Drosophila melanogaster: one gene and its partners. Changing the gene in region 2 together with the main gene of any one other region gives a genetic interaction. Each region holds a gene or a part of one and is shown on either strand. Other genes may lie near its edges.

Region 1 (5,837 bases), on a different chromosome or scaffold from region 2:
GATTTTTGAAGAAGATGAAGAGGCGGAGGGTGCAGTGGTCTGGCCATGTGAGGGATGTTTAATTCCCACGGGCTCTTTTTACAATTTTTAATTAGCTTAGCTTCGAACTCTTTTACCACCATATAATAAGAACTTTACGGGACTTTTCTTTAATTTTCCACACAGATATATAAATTTATGATGCCCCATAATGCAACATGATGTCTCGTCGGTATGTCAACGATTAAGCTATGATTCATATTCATAATCCTCTCCATCCGACTTGGGTCATTGGACATGATCCAGATCATTTAAGAGTAATCCCTGATCGAACCCTGAGCGAATAGACTTACCCACAAACTGGTATTGGATTTCTTAAGGTCCTCTCAAGTGTACCTGGGAAACCCAGTGCATTGCAGCATGGACATTTTGTATAAGTTGATAGTCCTCAGCCCATACTCTACAATGCTCCACAGCACAATCTGTCTACGCGACTTTGGGTCCGACGCGTCGAACTCGCCTGTCTCTGTTATGACAGAAGCTCAGCGCTACGAAACGAGCCATAAAATCTTTTCAAATAAAAAGTTTTTGGTTTTGCACATGATTTATTTTTATAAAATTGTATACGTTTAATCATTAATATTACAAGTAATTAATTAATATCAAATATGCAATTAGTTATCATTTAATTTCACATTATTTATATTACTGCGCTGTGTATGTGTTCATAATTGTTTATTGCTGCCGATCGATTCTCATCGATAGACTACCTTTAATTGGTGATATCTCGCAAATCTGCAAATCTTCGTTAATGTTTTAATATTAGGTGTAACGTTTTATTGACAAAGTCATGTGGTGTGCGGCAAAGAACAAAATAAATAGAGTACGAACTAACCAAATGAAATGTGTGTGAAGATTAAGAAGAATATAATAAGCACCCTCGATCTGTGCGATACTACCACATTATATTATATAAAGTTAGGACCGGGTAGGGGGAGGTGCGGGGCGGATTGGGCTGTTTTACACTTTTGGGTCATTGTGCGTCTGGACCTCCTCCGTCGTATTCCCAACGTAATGGCAAAAGGGTTTCTGAATCGATCGAAAGTACATACAAGCAATGAGCAAAACAAGGACAGGTAAACTAATCATATGCATACATAGTACATACAATATATTTGTTTTACAATTAATAATTTACAAATCGACAACCATGGCTGCTAGAGAAAATCATAATTCCGTAAATACTAAAACCTCTTCGAGAAGGACGCGGGCGGGTTGGATTGGCTGCTCTTCGATTTTCGCTATCGCTGGATCGTTTTATCTTTAAACTTGAGTTATATACGTATATATGTATACATATTATCATGCCTAGGTATATTTCGTACACGCTGTCGTCATATACTTTATTTAATAACTGTTTCATAATGCAATTTGTGTTCTATTCCATTATCGCGCTTATTCGGTTAAAGGGAGCCGGCTGCTGATTGATGTTTAAGGTTGATTTAGATGTCAGTTAATGTCCGCTTGTCGGGGTCCCGCTTGTACTCGAACCTAACAGGAGTTAAGAAAACTACTACCTCGTAGTTACCACCATAAACCACTACCGTGTAGTCGTTGCCACCATGCCGCTTCAGTGCCGAGCGCACGTTGCCACGTCAAAGCAGACTGCACCTGGACAACCAACTGTCCTTCGTCCGACTGTCCATCGGTTTCAGCTGATGGCCGCCCTTGGGTGGGTTGTTCGCCTCCTGCGCACACAAAGGATGTAAATGGTTAGCCACAGTAAAAAAAACGCTTTGTCCGAGTCTCGCCACCCGCACACTCACCATTCGCTTTTCCGTTTTCGCTTTGATATCACTGGCTAGGGTGAGGAAGGCTTCTTCCACGTTAATGCTGGCCTTCGCGGAGGTCTCCATGAACTTGATGCCATACTCGATGGCCAATTGTTCGCCGCGCTCTTTTGAAACCTACAACGGGTGGAAAATTGTTTAATTATCGGCCTTAAGGGCAGATAGCTTTATGAAGCTGAAAAGAATATTGCGCCAAATCATTGTCTATCCCTTATTGGATTTAATAACAAATGATTATACACTAACTGAATTTGAAATATATAAATAAAATGTTTGTAGATAACTTTTATGGAACAAACAAATAAACGAACTTGGAGGAATAGCCAGCGAAATCACCAATTTCTTTTTTCCATACCTGTCGCTTATCGGTCAATTCGCACTTGTTTCCCAGCAGCATTTTCTCGACATCGGCGGACGCATTTTCCTCGATATTCCTGATCCAGTTTTTGATGTTCTCGAAGGACTTTTCTTGGGTTATGTCATATACCAGCATGATGCCCATGGCACCTCTGTAATAGGCCGTGGTGATTGTGCGAAAACGCTCCTGGCCGGCAGTGTCCCTGGAAAATGAATGGAGATATAGGTAATTAGAGAATACAGATGAATCGCCTAGTACTTACCATATCTGCAGCTTAATCTTCTTGTTATCTAATTCAATTGTTCTAATTTTAAAATCGATACCTGAAAAGAGAAAACAGATGAGCATATACACACATGTACGTTTGCTAATTAATTTAAATAATTTGGCAAGAGGCTAAACCTGTTTGGTCGGAACCCATGACATCGCAGCTAAAATAAGAGACGAAGAGAACCGAAATCCACAAACCACGCAATTAATTTAAACAATGTCGTTAAGTAAATGCCCCAAAATTGGAAGTGTCGCGATGAAAACGTGCCAAAAACGAAAATAAACAATTATTAGCCACGAGCAGAAATGGGAATCGCTCTACTTTTGTGTTTACAAGTACGGGAAAGTACAGTGTGCATGTCGAATATTATTGTGATTATTATTTTAATAAGCTTAAAATTACTAGCATAATCTGATTTAACTGCCACTTGAAGTTGTACTGATTATGATTCGAATTTATTAAAAAGTATTTGCTGTGTTTGGTAGAAAGGCTTCACTGTACTCGTACGGGAACAACTACTTGAATTCCCTCTGAGACTGGGCATGGGCCTGCTGGGTATATAATAGGGCATTCCCGATTTGGCGTGCGACGGTCAAGTCTCGCATCGGAACAATCCGGCTTCTGGGGCGATAAGAGCAGCGAAAGTACAAAGACTATGGGTACTCGGACTGAGTACTCATTTCTGATCGCTTTCCTATGCGGGTGTGAATCTCAGGGCGAGATAAGGCATCCGGATATATTCCTTACGGGAAAATCTTAATAAGCGCGAGAAATCAAACATGGTGGGAGTGCCCCTCCCATGGAAACAACAATATTTATGACAAATGCGCCCGGATGGGGCAGGAAATAAAAAAGAAAAGAGGCATTTAATGAGTCACTGGGCCAGAAGCTCGGATTTCCAATTGCGAATGAGTTCATGCGAACGAAGGTGTTATAATTAATAACCAAAAAAAAAAAAAAATTAAGAATCGGAAGACACGGTAAACGCGGATGATGACACTCACCTATTGTGGATATAAACGTTGTGTTGAAGGCGTCCTCAGAGAATCGGAAGAGGATGCAGGTCTTGCCCACTCCGGAGTCACCGATCAGGAGCAGTTTGAACAGATAGTCGTAGGTTTTGGCCATTTTGTGTGCTTTTGCGGTAGGATCACAGTATCTGGCCCGATAATAGTGCTTAGCTGGGGGTTAGGGTACGGGTTAAGGGTGATGATGCTCTGTACACGTCGTCGTCTCCTTAATCAACTGACTGACTTCCTCTCCGATTCTTGGCTAATAACACTAATCACGATTATGCCCCATGCGTGCCGTTTAGCGTATGTATGTACATATACACTATACCCAGACGTAACCGCACTAATCCACAATCTAATTGAATCGACTCGAATCGAAAACGTATAGTTTTTTCCTTCTCTCCGCAGCGCAGCTCTTTTTCTCTTGGGTGTGTGTGTTGTGTTTTCGATTTCGGAGCCGTGTCAAAAATGGCGACGTAGATTTAAGACCTTTTTGTTGTCTGTGCCCGAGTTTCGGATTTCGTGCGGCGGCTTTTCCGGTGGGCAAATGCAAAGGCGCTCGCTACGCGGTGCGAGTCTACGTTGGTTTGTTGTGAAAATTACGTGGAAATGAAGTTAATTACTGCTTTCTAATTACGCCCGTACAAAAAATATGAGTTTCGATAATTCGTTGCTGCGCAACACTGGCGCGCCGTCGTCTATCGATAGCTTATCGTACGATGGGGAAAACAGCTGTTTCCAGTTAGTGTTGGAAAGTGCGCGAATATAGAAAGAAACAGAGGAAAATAGCACAAGACAAGAGTCAAAAAGACAGGTGTATATTATATATTCATACACATATATCGTCGTGATCCTGCACCTGATCCTCGCCAGCAGCCTATTGTTCCGCCCGCGACTGTGAAGTGAAGTTGAACAAATGTGAAAAGTGGCGTCGCCAGACGCAGCAGCAGGCGGAGCCCCAGAATCCATTGAGTTGCACCCCCGCAAACAAGAAATTCTGGACCATGGGCACCAAGGAGTCCAAGCACTCCAATAGCGTCAGCTACGAGGATTCGGTGAAACGCGGTGAGTCTCCTCCGGCTGGTTACTTGTGGGGCCGTCTCCCAGCCGCAGAAAATAGGTCACTGCCAATCAAGAAAACAGAACCCCCTGCGAAAGCAACAACAACGTACAAGCAGGTGCAATCGATTCCATTGTGTTGTTGCGCCCACGTCTTCTGACCAACGGGAATCACCACTGACTTCCGCCACCACCATCCTCATGCTCCTCTTAATCCTATCTCTTGCAATTATCTACTGCCATTCCAGTGTGGCTTCTTTATTGCATGTGTTTTCATGTGCATGGGTATTTGCGTCTCCGCCGCCAATGACGTCACAATAGAAAAGCTAACCGAATGGGGTGGCAGTTGGAGGTGTGCGCTGTGTGGGTGAGAGACAACAAAGCAGCGAAGGCACATGAGAAACAGTTAGACAGCCAGTGGAGTGCAGTTCACGCTTAGGGTGACTGGAATGCGCGGATGCGGATGTCGCTGCGAATACGATTCATTTCAAGTTCAGCATGTCATTCCAGTGTTCATTTCAATTCGCACTCTATGGGCAAAGGTCTTCTGTTGAAGTATTTTATAAAGAAGCCTACTTTAAAATTTTTTTGTTTATAATGAAATGAAATTATAATGAAAGGGGAGCATTTTGGATTTCGATTTTCCAATTGGAATATCCATAAGAAAAATGTTTTAAAATAAATAATTCATTGGGCTTTTAATTCTGCATGTCATTTCCTTATTTCTTAAAATTCCTCTTTAAGTGGAATATGTTCAGATAGGAAAAGGAATTACTGTGTTTAAAACAAGCTGATAAGCCAAAAAAATAGAAATTTATTTACAAAGTATGAAAATCGGAATGTTCACTCTTCTCCAAATATTTTATAATAATGAACCAGCAATAAAATTGGTAATCATTCAGAAGAGTTAAGATTATTTAAGCCAACTTGTATACCCATTTTCGGCCCACTTTCAATGACGTTTAGCTTCCCTTAGTGCTTTTCACTTACTTTATTCCGCCTTCCCTTTGCGCTGGCAATCATCTAAATGCTGGTGTTGTTATGGTTATGGTTGCTGATTTGTGGCCAGGCGGCCCAGCCAGAGTTAAGAAAACGAGTGTCGCTGATAAGGCTCACTCCCCCGGAACACCAGCACTCCGGACCACCCCTCCACCACCCACCATCACTGGTGTGGGGCGTGCGACCGGGTGCGTGTGTTTCTTATTAGCCACTCCAACCGGTTCCAGTAAAACCAAGGGGGAAGTGAGGACTAGCATGCAAGTATGTGCGCGGTGGTCAATAATCGCAGACTCGAGTTGCAGTTAACA
Region 2 (4,652 bases):
CGTTCACATTGGCGTTGGCCGCCGTTGTCGGTGTTAACTGTGTGGACGAGGGGCTCAGTTCCCCCTCCTGCGAACTGAGGCTATCCGGTTGAGCGGCCACCGTGCCGTCGCTCTCTTTGGTGACAATCTGCGAGCAGTTCAAGGATCAAGAGTTAGCAATGTGTGGCAAAGGAAAATAACGCAAAAGTGATGTTATCCGTATAGGGTAATGATTGCATTTAGTGCCAAACAATATCGAATTTAAATTAGGTTTTAAAGACGGGCAGAGTAAAAGAACGCTTTCCTCAATAGATAAAAACACCAATTGACTCTTTTACAATTGTGTATTGACCCAATAAAGCTGTCTCACCTGTTGATTAACAAACGTGTATTCCAGGGCCTTGTCCGCCCCCGTATAGTCCTTGACGATCTCGTGCATAACGCCCACTATGTACTGCATCGACGGGCGATCCTCGGGCACCGTTTTCCAGCAGGCGGTCATCAGGTCCTCGATGCGCTTGGGGCAAGTGGTCAGCAGCGGCGGGCGTTCACCTGCGAGGAGCACAGATCTCGATAAGCTCGATGGAAAAAGAGTGAATTGGAGGACGCACCCTTGTAGATCTTCCACTGGATGGTGTAGGCATTGTCGATGCCTTTAAAGGGCTGCTTCCTGGACAGAACCTCCCATAGAACAATGGCCCAGCTAAAAATGTCACACTTCTCCGTATACTTGGAGCCTTCGAAGACCTCGGGCGCCATCCAAGCGGCACTGCCGCGATTGTTGGTCATCATGGTCGACTTGTCCGCCACCGTGCCGAAGTCGCATATCTTCAGATTGCGTCCCTTGTTGGTCAAGAGCAGGTTCAGCGGCTTCACGTCGCGATGTATTAGTGGTTTTGGCGTCATGGCATGCAAATATGCCAGACCCTAGAGAGGAAAACAAATGGAAATGTAATTAGGGCTAAACTTTAAACAAATTACTATTATTTTAATTCTGGTTATGCGGAATAGCTATTGAAATTGTTTAAGTAATCATGCAAGCAATGTGAATTACCACAATCCATTTGAGTCATTATTTCACCAGATAATTTCAACGAATTGGATGGAAAGCGCTACGGGGTTGAGCCCTACGTTATAACCGCCCCGCCCCTCGACGACGACCTACCTCTGCACATTGGCGCGCCCAGCTCATGGCGTGGGCCAGAGAATATGCCGGCTTCACCTTGCCGTGAAGGAAGTTGTGCAGCGATCCACCTTCGGCGAACTCCATTATCAGGTAGGTGGCCTGCTGGTACGAGGATATCCCGTGCAGAGCGATGATGTTCGGGTGCTTCACGCGCGACAACTGCTTCACCTCCTTCTCGATGTCCTTCTGCTCGGCGCTGGCGAAGAACTCCTTGACGGCAACCAGCTTGTCGCGCCAAACGGCCTTGCAGACCACTCCGTAGGACCCATGGCCGACTTTCTGCGGGGAAAAAGATTATTAGATCTGATTCAACAGTTGTACCCTCCTTGTGCAAAACTCCTCAATACTAATTACGTTATACACCTTGGTCTAACACAGTTTGAATTGACTTCAAGTAGAACACACGAACGCATTGTGATGGGTAAATTTGAAATTCGTTTCTTATCAAACTGATAAGATCGTATCGTTAATAAATATGCTGATATTTGTATACAGTCTGTAGTTTGTTTTAATAAGTTTGAAACGAAATCCTAAAACGAATGTAAGCATTTAGGAATGCGTAAGTTTAAAATATAAAACCTTTCTTGGGTTTTTTAACAGAGCTGTTACAAAGCATACACTTTTAAAACGAAAAAATAACCGTTTATAGATTAAAACATGCTTTTTGAAAGTGCGATAATCGTCTGACTAACTAAGAATGAGTACTTGCTCTGCCCTAAATGGTATATGATTACTGGTTGTTTATCGTTTCAAGATTGCGTATACGTATACACCAATAGGAGCTCTAGACTTTGGGTATATTCCGTTTGGTATGCACACCTCTCTTAGTGTTATCTCACTGAAGTCCACATAGGCTGCCTGCAGTGCGTCCAGCGATGCTGTGGCCATCTCCGTGGAACGCTAAGTATCCTGGTGTTCTCTACTTGCTTTTCAGATGCAGCTTTTGTTTGTCAGTGTTTTGGCTTACAAATGAGTACTAGTTTACCAGTTGCAGTTGCATTTGGCGCCGCTGATTACCAGATTTAAAGTTCTCTTCAACTGTCCAAGTATGCCACCGATTCCTTGCCTTAAGGCTCTCTTCTATGGTGTCCAGGTGGTGCGCTATTTTGGTAGAATTACCGGGATTTCGCCTTTTTAGTGGCTACGATTCCGTGGGTTCCCGATTTCATTGCTGGCTAACTGTGCCTTTGGTTCCCTCTTGGGGACAGAGTTTTCGGAATCTTTGCAAGATCTAGACCTGGATTCATCATAAAGTTTCTTGCCTTTGTATAGATTGCGACTGACAACTTTTACCACGTCATTTTGCTAAGATATGGTGTGTTTCGCAGTTCCCAGGAGACTTCAGATGTTATCTAGATTCCTCAGCTGCAGGTTCCTGGACAAAGTGGTGCGTGATGCCAACCCTAGTGGATCGGTTTCCGTGCTCAGCCGATTTCCCAGACACCGCGGTCTCCGTGTCCTTTGTAGTCTGCCTGGTTCCACCACTCGTGCTACCGGTAGACTTCTCCAGGCGAAGATGATTGCTGTGCAGGACTGGGACTGGAACTGTGGGGTAGAATGAGCAGGCGGTTGACAGCAAGAAGGTGGCTAGAAGAGGGGGGCACGAGTTTATATCGACCAGCGGAGAGGGCCCAGTGCGCACATCACATCCTGGCCGGGATTCCTCCGGATTCCGGGCTCAATGCTTGAACAGATGGCGTCTGCATCGGACGCTGCCTTGGCGGGTTCTTGCGTTCTTCGCTGTAGATATACGCCGTACTTTTCAAGTACAAACTTGTTTTTTTTTTAATAATTTAACAAGACCGTCATCGATACATTAGTGCCAGATATCGGGCGCAAGGTACGTCGATATTTTTGCCTAGCACAGTGTGGACTCGCCGATAACGATAACATTGGTATTTGTATTTTTAATTCCAGCGACATCAATGGATCTATCCACTTAAAAGATACTTATTATTTGTGTGACATATTTTCAAAAATTAGGCATCAATTTAATTTTTACACCCGAGATACCAATACTCCCAATAAAAATAGTGATGCCATCTCGTCAGAGGAGCTGTGTCGCCCTCTGGCGCTTTGCATGCGTCTCGGGGTACCTATTACCTCCGATAGATGGCGCCAGTACATCCCATTTCGAGAGTTTTCAATCGTTGTTGTATTTTTAAAACGATAAGATAGATCTATTTAATTCTCTCTACCCGCCCATTTCCTCTGGCAACTCCAGTTGTTGTTAAGACATTTTGTAGTAAAAATCCACACGAATTTCAAAAATCCACCAACAAGTGCGAAGATGTACTTATATTGTGTAACGGCTTGTCACCTTTCTCAATGCATCATAAAAGTCCATCCTGTTTGCCCAGCTTTTTGTTCGTAATAATACACGGAATACACGCGTCTATAAGCTTTTCGACCTTGCTCTCTAGGTGTGGAATCCAAAACTGCTGTTGTATAGAATGTACGGTTTGTTCTGGTTTGCATAATGTCCGAATCCATGAGCTTCGTTTATAATCTTACGTTCGATTATTTTAGGTACAATAAGCAAATCATTTCCTTTGACAAACATGAATAAAACTCCTCCCTTCAGTTTAAGGTCATTGTAAGGTCGTTCTTCCAATATCGTGCGTATGAAATGACATTTCTTTCACTTTATACGTAAGCCGAACTTCGCTGATTCTAATAGCACCAACTTTAGTTTCTTAATACATTCGTCATTCGTCTGTCCATATATTATAATATCATCCATATAGAGTTGTAGAATGTCTCGGGAATATGTGGTTTATAAATCTTATAAATGCCGCAGTAGAATTGCAGGAAATCGACACAGGGAAGCAATCCTTGAGAACCATGCTGTTTAATTGGCGATAGTCCTATACAGATTCTGTAAGTGCCGTACTTTTTTCTTCACTACGACAGTTCTACTGGCGAAGCTTGAAGTAGATGGTCAATCGATTTCTTCTTTTAACCAGTCATCGACTTGTTTTTTAACGGCTTTGGCTTTAACTGGCGGATGTCGACTTGGTTGATGACGAAACGTCTTAATTTTCTCATCCGGCACAATTGGAGGTTGGATGATATTCGTCTATCAGCTTCCGTATCATAGGTGCAAATTGGGGAGGAGCATTCACATTACTTTCAGTGCAAACATAATCGTGAATACTTATCTGGTTAATGTTAGCTACCTCAGGCCAAGCTGATAACGACACAAAACGTAAACCCATTTACATCCAGTGTAAATTGAAACTTCGATAGAAAATCGTATCCAATGCACTTCCATCACCTTCCATTTTTTCATCCGCCACCACGATGAAGTTTTGAACAGTCTCCATATCGTCTATTTGAACATCTCCAGCGAAAACTCCCAGAGGCAACGTGGCCGCCTTGCCCAGGCCACGCAACAAAGAACGACATGGACTTAGCACAACATCTTTTTGCCTCATGTACACCGAGTACATCACAACCGTAACATCAGCACCCGTGTCAACCCAGC
Region 3 (4,068 bases), on a different chromosome or scaffold from region 2:
CCGGACATCATTGAGCTGGATCACTTGACCGTGAGCGGAGATGTGACTTTCGGTCGTGGCGTTTCTTTGCGCGTAAGTTTGAATAATATTGAATGGTATTTTAAATACGCTAATAACATGTCTTAACTTGATTCTGCAGGGCACTGTGATCATCATTGCTAACCATGGCGATCGTATCGATATCCCAGCTGGAGCCATTCTGGAGAACAAGATTGTATCTGGCAATATGCGCATCTTGGACCACTAAATCAAATCCTGTACAATTGGATATCGTCTCACTAACTGTAGTCTAATTGTCTAAGTTTTATGTAGTAGCCATGTTCGCGTTTCAAATTTCCAATAACGAATTTCATTTAGCCAATTGTTGTAAGCACAAAGTGTGTCATCTGTATATATCGTTAAGTAGAAATCAGTCAGGGTTTTTAATCAAAATCGAATTGCAATATGTTTTCAAAAATGTTAGTTGTAGTCGTTCAAATGAGATATAAAAGATAGCAGCTGTTGAAACTCAATAAAGGCATGTTTATTTCTATAAATACGAAGGAGATTGTCACCTATTGGATGTGAGATATTTGTGATGCTTAACATTAGGTCTTAAATTAATATCACTTTGAAAAATGGCACAGGAATGGCACTAGCCAAGTTTCATTCCCCTTGCTTTCAGTTTTCTATGACTTTTCTAAATCGTCAATTAGACTATAGTTCTTGCTTATATGACCAAGTTTTATGCCCTGTTTGATTAGTTCTAATGCTATCTTTTTATTGCTACTCGATGGACCAATAAAGGCCACGACTAGTTCATCTGCATCTTTTGGAGGTTCACAGCTGTGATCCCAACCTCTGGCCTCGTAGATGTTTTCGTCCCCAGCCGCAACGAAATTATAGTTAATATCCTTATATCCATTGCTCTCGATGTGCCAATTTTGCAGAAGGCGCACTCGAAAAGTGCACTCGGCTTGAGTGAAACATGATGGCGTGTTGGTTGCCACAAATCTCACGCTCTCAATTGGCAGCTTCAAAGGAGTAAGTGGCACTATAGGTGGCTGGGCCAACCAATAGGGTCGGGTAACGATCTTTACAGTCTCATTGCTTAGGAGTCGCACTGAAAATAAATTTTGAAAATAAATATATTCTCGTATTTTTTTCTTTCAACTGCATTACATGATGTTGGATCCTGCGTGAATCGGGGCCAATTTTGCATCAGCTCGAAAAGCTTCTGGCCAGGACTTTCGGTGGGGCTTAATTGTCGATGGGCATATATATGATAATCCGGTTGCAATCTATGGAGACGTACGCCCTCGTCCATCAGTCGCTTGGCTGCTTCGATTTGTCGAGCTGGTGGCTCCATATTCACAAAAGTTCCGATAAAGGCTATGCTAACGGAGATGGCACCATATCCATTCACATGCTGACCCTGGATGTGCCAGCCGCGTCCTACGTATATTTGACCATCGCCGCCCACCAAAAAGTTATAGCCAATGTCGACCCAACCAAAAGATTTCATATGGAACGCCTGAATGGTCTTCATGCGGTATATGCAAACATCCTGGGCGAGATAGAAATAAGATTTATGCATAAGTAAACAGTCTTTTAACCGCTAACTTTTAGAAAAGTTTAATTAACTCGAAATAGTGCTGAAGAATGGGGGTTTTTTACCGAAAAGTATGTCGATCTATAGACTCAAAGCGGGGGTTTTTTTTTATGGCAAGCTATTGAATTATAATATCGGTTTTACGAGGCTTTCTAGGAAAAGTTTTGGGTTGATTATTTATATAAATTTTTGTAGATAAGAAAAGAACAACTGGTTACAATAAAGCCTTTTCATGAATCCTAAGTAATTGCCGCAGTAAGCTAAGTAAAACAAACTGGTTTCAAGTTAGCTTTAAAGCAATTCTATATCACTTTGATATTAACAATTTAAAATTCCCAAAGTAAGACTTACCTCTTGTTCGCATCCTTCGGTTGCCGTGTGATGAATGATAATATTGGAGACGGGAAGCTTAAGGTGCGGGTACTTCCCACTGGGTGGTTCCCCCAGCCATTCGCTGCGATCGAGTATGTGTAGGCCCTTGTTCGGCGAATGTGTGGAGAAGGCTAAACCAGGTTAACAATTGGTTATTGGTTATTAAATTGTATTCAATCTACGATTCGCTTTAATGACTCACACATCATCCACATGAAATAGCCAGCTGCTAAACCCACAACCATTAGAAGAATCACACAGAAATAGAGAAGCTCGAAGCGAAATCTTTTCTCGTTATTTATCGGTTTTCCTGGGTGAGTAACTACCACTGTTTTCGGCATCTTGAGATGTTTTCACTATATCGCACTACCCACAACCGCGATCGATCCTCGCACGACGAACGTCCGATGCCAACTGAAGTGAGTACGCACCCGATCTCAAGTCCGGTTGTTGTTTATTTCTGTTGACGGCTCCGAAAAATCCCCGGACATTTGAAAACCTAAAGCGACTGCGCAGTTCATAAGCTTGTTGATAAGAGATATTCATACCTATAAATAAATATATGTATGTATAACTAAAGAAAGCTTTTTAAAGCTTAATATAGGGTGCCATTTTTGCAACAGGGTGCGCGATCTCTGAACGCCGCCCACTTGAGATTAGAAAGAGATATTTGATGGTAGTGAGCAGTCCAAGAAATGGGAATCCCATTTTGTCAAGGGGGCGTATACTTACTCTTAGCGTTTTTGAAAGAAGCTAGCTCATCTTTGGACCGAAGTTATGATGTTTTCCGGTTTCTTGGAATGAGTGACCGACTACAGTTAGCGGCTGCGATTTGATCAACTGACCCAAAAAGAGTTCTTCACGATTATTATTCTGTTTTTATTTTGTCATAAATAGAACGCAGATAGATCGTGATAAGTAGAAAAAGAAAGCGAATTTAGCAAACATTTCTTTAACAGACAAACTAAAACTTAGGTAAAATGGAGCCTATACAACCTCCGGATAAAATATTTGCCAGATATAAGATATCCCAGCCAAACTGAACTCCAGACCAACTAACCTCCGGATAGTAAATGTCTGGTAAAACAAAACCCAGCCACAAAAACCCCCAGGCAAACTTACCTCCTGCTATAATAACCACTAGACGATCTAACCTTCAGATGAAATAACCCCAAGCCAAACTAACCTCGGGTTAAATGAACCTCCAGGTAATACACTCCCCCAGTCAAACCCCCTAACAAACGAGCCTCCGGATAAAATAACCCCCGATAAAGTAACGCCCAGGAAAGCTAAGCCCCTGGCAAACTAACCTCTGGATAAAACAACCCCAGGCAACCTAACCTCCGGATAAAAACGGATAAAATGATTCCCGGATAAATAAACCTCCGGATAAAACAACCGCAGGCAAACTAACGTCCGGATAAAACAACCTCCAGGCAAACTAACCTCCGTATAAAATAATAATTATAATATAATAATATAATAATTTTAAGATAGTCGCGAAAGAAATTAAAAATTCCAATAATCGGGGAAGCCCCATAACTCGCAGGTGGAAGAATGCGTAGAAAAGCCAAGCCATATTACAACTTTTCCGGTTTCAGGCAGTTCCAGACAGCACCTCTACAGAAATTCCCCGATTCCAGTTATCAGCTAGTTCTTGATCCCCATACATGATTGAAATTCATCAAGTAAATCATTTTGTTTTATTTAATATCACATTTTCTTTTTAAACGAATCGTTACTCTAGCTAAATCGAATATGCCACACATTAATGGGAGAACACCTATGATACAAAATCAATACGAAAATAAATGATAGTATTGCAAAATATCGAAATAGCTCTTAACCTATTCACGACCAATGAGTCCAGTTGGCGAAGCTTGCGTAGAGCGCATCCGCCTTAAAATCGGTTACACTTGGCATCAATTTACTGCTCGCCGTAAATCGGTAGCTTGGTGCAATCTTGCCCAGCTTTACGCCACGCTCCAGCAAAAGACGAGTAACACTTAGTTGCTTGGCCGACGGCTGGATGGTCTTAAACGATCCGATATAGGCGAAGCTAAGACTCTGCGAGTCATAGTTTATATTGTTCATGTGGGCACCCA
Region 4 (5,876 bases), 6.5 Mb from region 2:
CCCTTGATCCCGAGGAACCAATCGATCCAGCTGCTGTTGTTGTTCTGGCTACAAGATTTTACTGTGACTTGCTATAATTTCTATAGGAAAAACCTAGTTACTTACGAGCTCGACATGTTGCCAGTTCACTTGTTCAGAGAAATATGATTTGTAGACTTCAAAGTCATCGTCTTCTTCTTTGAGTTTTTGACACGTGCTAAAAGGCCTGCCAGGACTCTGTCATGCCCTTCCAGATGGGAACTCTAGACTCGAAAATTCGTTTTATGTTCGGCTGGCATAATAAGTATTAGTTCTTTTATTTCATAATATGTTATGCATACGATATTTTATGTGTCAGTTGGGCCAAAAACAAATCAAATGTCATTGTTTCGACAAGGCAGCATCGGCTGATACTATTTATAAATAGTATCCAAATCAAAATCCTATAAATTCAGTAATTTTTTAACACTTAAATTAATTAATAAACTTACCATTCAGTTATATTACCACTTAACTATTTAAATAAAACACAACTCGGTTTATTTTTTATAATTTTTATTTGAATTTTTCGTTTTTATTTATTTTTCTTAGAAAAAAATTAATTAAAATTAAAGAAAACTGAATTTTTATTTTCGCTTACTCTTTGATTTATGGTTGCTTTTCGGTTGCTATTGTTTTTTGGATTATCCTTTAGTGATTTCGGTGACAAACATTTAATTACTGTACACAATTTTTGTTGAGAACTGCACTTGAAATTTTCACGCAATCAAGCCACTACTTTTGTTTTTCTTTTTGTATTTTTTTTGTATAAATATATAGTGTATGCATTCATTGTATTTTGATCATGTATCATATTTTTGTATATTTTTTATATATATATTTTTTATTTTTTTTTTTTTCAAAAATTACTAATAGCTTAAAGGCTTCATTGTTTGGTTAAAAAAAATTGTTTTCGAGTAAAAACTATTTATCGTTTATCAAAGGGACTCTGACACAACCCAGGCAAAGCTCAAGTATCAATCGAAATGGTGAACTCTTAGTTAAGAAAAGTAAAGTCTACAAGTTGGACGATCACATCTTAAATTTTCTGAAACACTGAAAATGATACAATCAAAATTCTCTATTTTGAATTGACATTTAAGCCGAGTTTTCAAATGACGAGTTAAAGGAAATCAAAATCCCTTCTTGTTTGCCTTTCCAATTGATTTATCATATCTGATGCTACATGTGTTAATGGTTATGGGTTGGTTATTTCAGTTACACATAGAATTATATACGGCTATATGTATATAGACACCAGAACCCTCGAACAAATCAATAGAAACGACTAAAACCAATTACTGTTTTTTTTTTTTTTTTTTTTTTTCGTTTTTAGTTTGTTTCGGATACATGTATACGTCTTACATAAAGAATGCTTTCGCTATCTCTCCTCCATTTCGCCGATCGCCCCGATCGATTGGTTGAAAAAAATATATATATTAATATTTTATATGTATATCCCGCCCCAGAAGGTTCGAAAAAAAAATGTGTTCTTAAATCGTTTTTTTTTATGTTTGCTTCCTTACTTTTTTCTTATTTTATGTTTTCTTTCGTATGTTTTAGGTTTTTCTGGTTGCTTTTAAAGTATTCAATTTACCCACCCGCCCGTTCATGTCACGCACCCACTTTCTGGAAAAACGCCGATACAACTGACGGATCCGCTTTCTGACTTTCCTCCTGACCTCGGGCGTTCAGTCTTCGACGGCATATTTCTGGGTCCACTCGCGGGCATTGCGAATGGCCTCCGCCTCGTTGACCTTCCACAACTCAGCCACATCGTTGGCCAGCGGATCGTCGGGATTGGGTGCACTGAGCAGTGCCTGAATGGATAGCAATATGGTCCGGATCTGCAGGGCTGGACTCCACTTGTCCTTCAGCACGTCGAGGCAAATGCGGCCCAAACGATCGATGTTCGGATGGTAGATCTTCGTGATGAAGCGCACTTTGGGCGCTGACATTGGATAGTCCTCCGGTAGGAACAGCTCCAGCTTGAACACGCCGCCCTCGAAGGGCGAATCGTTCGGTCCGGTCACGATCACATGGAAGTAACGGGCATTGTTCTCATCGGGAATGGCATTGATCCCAGGCACTGGCTCCTGCATCAAACGTTGAGTCTCCTTGATGATGCGACGTGGCAGGCTGGACATCGTTTAGCTGGTTCCTTTTACGCGGTGAACTGGAAACGCGGGTTGAGTCTGGACCTTCTCGTTGAGCTGCAAACGAGATCGGAGTGAAGTTAACCAATTAAGTAGTTCCTCGGTATCATCCACTATCCACTCAACGTTAATTAAGACTATAAATTAGTATCCCTAATGTTTACAGTCGTGGTTTCAACTGTGAAATTAAACTAATTACTAATTTAAATAAGGGCTCAACTACATGTATCGGTGAAATAGTAGCATTAGTAAATTGGAGTTTCACTTGGTTTTCTTGGGGAAGAGCGTGGCAAGTCAAAGAGAATTTTCCTTTTTGCAGCTCAAGGTCGTTCTTTATGGGGATGCGTGTGTGCAGGGTTGGGTGGATTTTGGTCTGATACGTGGCTTTCACTTTCCCCAAGAAAGTTTTACTACAGAATTTAGCATGCCACAAAGATGTCTCTATGTGGCTAAAAAAAAAAATAAACTAATTCAAAATATGTTGTATATTTAAAGATGTTTTCAAATTGTAGTACTTAATAATATTTATATTGAAGTATATGAACGGAATTCAAAGTTATTAACTTGATTCTGGATATCTAGACTATATTGTAAACCAATATTTTCAATATTTTCTGGATTTATTTCCGTTACACTTTTTGCGAAGTTCAAAATAAATTTCTGCTTGTGTAAGTCAAAGCCCACCCACTATTGCCAACTCCTTTAGCGTGACCTTGCGGCTCCTTTAACTGTTTACATTTCCCAGACACACGGAAAATCAAGTAAAATAAAGAGGAGAAGGGGAAAGAAAGACGCAGATAAACCAGAAACAAAAGGCAATAAATGAATGCCCCAAAATTTCCAGAAATTGTATTGCGAAAGCAACAACAACAGCAACGAAAAACACTCGAAGCAAACAAAAGAAATTGCGTTATTAACGCGAAAACAGCAATAATTTAACCATAATGTGCGGCGTTTCGCTGTTTTACCAACTTATTGATTTCCCTTTTGGGTGACAAATGCACGTAGTTCCGCAGAGGAAGAAGAAGCAGATTGGACAGGAGGAATGCGGAGGGGGAGAAACGGGGTGAACCGCTTGAAAAATCAATAATGTTGGCAATTAAACTACAAAAAAAAAACCAAATAAGATTTTTCTTTTTTACAAGCAACAATTTCGCTTGCATACGCACACACACAGACACAGCGAGTCACGCACCCACGCACACAGACAAAATGCAGACAACGCGCACGAAAAAGACAAAGGCGAAAAGAGAATATGCGGATGGGTGAGACAAAGAGGGCGAGTCAAGAAAAGAAGAAAAGCAAACGCCGCTTTTTTGGCGAATTTAAGTTAATAGAAAAAAACGGCGAATACTTGGTGCGAACGCCGCAATTATTATTTTTCACACACACACACATATATATTCGATTTATCAACTTTTACGGCTTTTTTCTTGCTCTTCTTCGATATTATATTAAATTTTATCTGCTGCCTCTGCTTCTTCTGCTGCTGCTGCTCCTGCTTTTTTTTTGCTGCTGTTGTTGTTGTTGTTCTCACTTTGGTATTTTTTCGGGCATTTACAACATTTTTGGACAAAAACAATGGTTTTTAGATAAAGTATGCAACTTTCGATAAAACACAAACTCACATCGTAACAGCGCCAAGTTATTGCTGAACTTTATTTGCAGTTATGGCCGATAACTTCGTTGGCAAACTGATAAAATTCGATTTTGCAGGCAGCTCCACCACAAAAATTATGAATGTCGAACACACTCGAAAAAAAATGTAGCCGTTTGGTAGTGTGTGTGTGCGTTGCTGTGACTAACGTGCGTCTGTGTGGCGTGCGTGTGAGCGGCAATGTCAAAATGACAGGGTTGCTAGGGTGCCTAGATGTGAATTCAATTTTTTTGCAACACGTTTGCACCTCCTTCTCAGTTTAATTTCAGTACAAATATATCTTTAAATATTTTCTTTGCTACTCATCTTGTTTTTTATCCCATTTTTCCATTTTTGCGCAGGTAATTTTATTGTTCGCACTAGTAAAAACGCATTTTCGGTGACAACTCTAGCGCTTAGCGGCTGTCAAATAGGACAGTGTTTCATAGCAATCAGCTCTTCGGCACGCTACAACCCAAGGTTTTGGAGCGCTTAGCTTTTTTCTGTCAGAAATTTTGATTGGAAAATTGGCGGGACAAATCCAGTTGAAAGAAACACGAAAGAGAAGTAACAAAAAGTGTAAGTTCCCGGGAATAAGCAATAAATTTAGTCGGGATTTATTTAATCGACGACTTTGATCTTTGTTTTCGTTGCTTAAAACCAATGCTTTGCATTTTTAATATTCATCAGATGTAACCTAACTTCATACCTAAGGTAAATACATCTAAAATTCTCGAGAAATTTGGTCATTTATGTCAGCACTTTATAAAGCGATATTTGAACTGCATATTAGCACTTATTAATATGGTTTTATGTTCTTTTTAACATCATAACCATGTGTTTCCCAAAAACTTTTATCACAATAAGACTTATAATAAAAAAAAATTGCATGCAAATTAAAATAAATTTTATTTCTTTAGTATTATTCGATAGCAAATTAATGATTAAAAAAATGATTGTACATAGGTTTCGTTATTTAACAAGTCTAAAAGGAGCCGGTACAGGATTCCAATCAGACACGTGCAAAAACATAAACCCAAAAAGCGAGATAGCAACAACAACAAATTGTCAATTTACTGTAATCAACATTTATGCGTTTTTAAAAAGAGAGGCTGTCCGAACACACACACACAACTGCGCACTTGCACTCACACCCACACACCTCGAATGCAATGCCCAATGGACGCACAAGAAGCCGAAATGAGCAACAACAAAAACCACAAGGCGGAAGGCAGAAAACTAAAATACAAAAAAAAACAAGCGAAACCTCTCGCTCGCACACACACATGCTATTTACCATTCGTATTCGTTCGATTGCATAGGCCGGTTGCATGTGTGTGTGCGAGTGTGAGATAAAAACAAACACCAACTGCAAAAGGGCAACAAAACCAACAACAGCAAGACAGCCATAAGCATTACACACACCGCACACAAACACACACACACACGTGCGATCTCCGTTTTTAGGCTGGCCAAACCAACAACAACGACTGTAGTCCAGCCCACAAGTGAGAGCGAGAGAGAGCAACCTGCCTCTTTTCTGCTTTGCTGTTTATCTGTTTTTCTGCTGCAACTGCGCTGCTTTTCCCTACGCAGTGCACGTGTGTGTGTGTGTGTGTGAAAGTGTGTGGGTTGGTGCGAGAGGGGATGAAAGAGCAAGAGAGGGCGGAACGGGGGCGACCTTTATTCGCTCTTGAGCTGCAGCTGTTTTTAGTGCCTTCCTCTATGTATTTTTACGCTCGATATGGCCAAATTCTAACCGCTACAGCTGATCTTCAAAGGAATGTGATAGAAAGTGAGGGGGGAAAGGGGAGAAGAAATTGATAGAGAAGACGAGGTGAAGAGTGTAAGAAGACATTCAAATCGAAGGACGTTTTAAAGTTCTGCTACAAAGTGAAGATTTAGTCGAAAAAGAAAGACTAGTATAGCCACTTCTTTAGTGGTAGAATATAATGAAATTCTCTTGGTTTTCGTACAATAAGTCATTGAAATAATAGATGTATCTATGTACATATGTACATACATATATCGGAATAGAAAACCTCAATGCATTTTTTCCTCTTTCA

The links.
Region 1: of Tak1 (region 2) and Rab8, changing one suppresses a phenotype caused by changing the other (phenotypic suppression), as found in Drosophila melanogaster (one study listed by BioGRID).
Region 3: of Tak1 (region 2) and PGRP-LF, changing one suppresses a phenotype caused by changing the other (phenotypic suppression), as found in Drosophila melanogaster (one study listed by BioGRID).
Region 4: of Tak1 (region 2) and ben, changing one suppresses a phenotype caused by changing the other (phenotypic suppression), as found in Drosophila melanogaster (one study listed by BioGRID).

The regions. Positions count from the first base shown.
Region 1 is NT_037436.4:19,866,919-19,872,755, forward strand, and holds Rab8 (Rab8), read right to left. Parts: upstream 4,161-5,837; 5' UTR 3,587-4,160; coding exon 3,463-3,586; intron 2,641-3,462; exon of another isoform or gene 2,609-2,640; coding exon of another isoform or gene 2,590-2,608; intron 2,511-2,589; coding exon 2,450-2,510; intron 2,390-2,449; coding exon 2,185-2,389; intron 1,947-2,184; coding exon 1,806-1,946; intron 1,728-1,805; coding exon 1,635-1,727; 3' UTR 570-1,634; downstream 1-569. Other genes in the region: Usp32 (ubiquitin specific protease 32), read left to right, coding at 4,476-4,536.
Region 2 is NC_004354.4:20,521,915-20,526,566, forward strand, and holds the start of Tak1 (TGF-beta activated kinase 1), read right to left. Parts: upstream 3,015-4,652; 5' UTR 2,054-3,014; coding exon 1,985-2,053; intron 1,445-1,984; coding exon 1,145-1,444; intron 907-1,144; coding exon 591-906; intron 532-590; coding exon 350-531; intron 128-349; coding exon 1-127. UniProt on the Drosophila melanogaster protein: Component of a protein kinase signal transduction cascade. Mediator of TGF-beta signal transduction. Responsible for activation of the JNK MAPK pathway (basket, bsk and hemipterous, hep) in response to LPS.
Region 3 is NT_037436.4:9,347,922-9,351,989, reverse strand, and holds PGRP-LF (peptidoglycan recognition protein LF), read right to left. Parts: upstream 2,382-4,068; 5' UTR 2,305-2,381; coding exon 2,166-2,304; intron 2,095-2,165; coding exon 1,943-2,094; intron 1,547-1,942; coding exon 1,162-1,546; intron 1,124-1,161; exon of another isoform or gene 1,103-1,123; coding exon 669-1,102; 3' UTR 501-668; downstream 1-500. Other genes in the region: UGP (UDP-glucose pyrophosphorylase), read left to right, coding at 1-72, 140-247; PGRP-LC (peptidoglycan recognition protein LC), read right to left, coding at 3,815-4,068.
Region 4 is NC_004354.4:13,994,450-14,000,325, reverse strand, and holds ben (bendless), read right to left. Parts: upstream 3,982-5,876; 5' UTR 3,803-3,981; intron 3,711-3,802; exon of another isoform or gene 3,529-3,710; intron 2,232-3,528; 5' UTR 2,166-2,231; coding exon 1,710-2,165; 3' UTR 521-1,709; downstream 1-520. Other genes in the region: Ste12DOR (stellate 12D orphon), read right to left, coding at 1-48, 106-116. UniProt on the Drosophila melanogaster protein: Catalyzes the covalent attachment of ubiquitin to other proteins.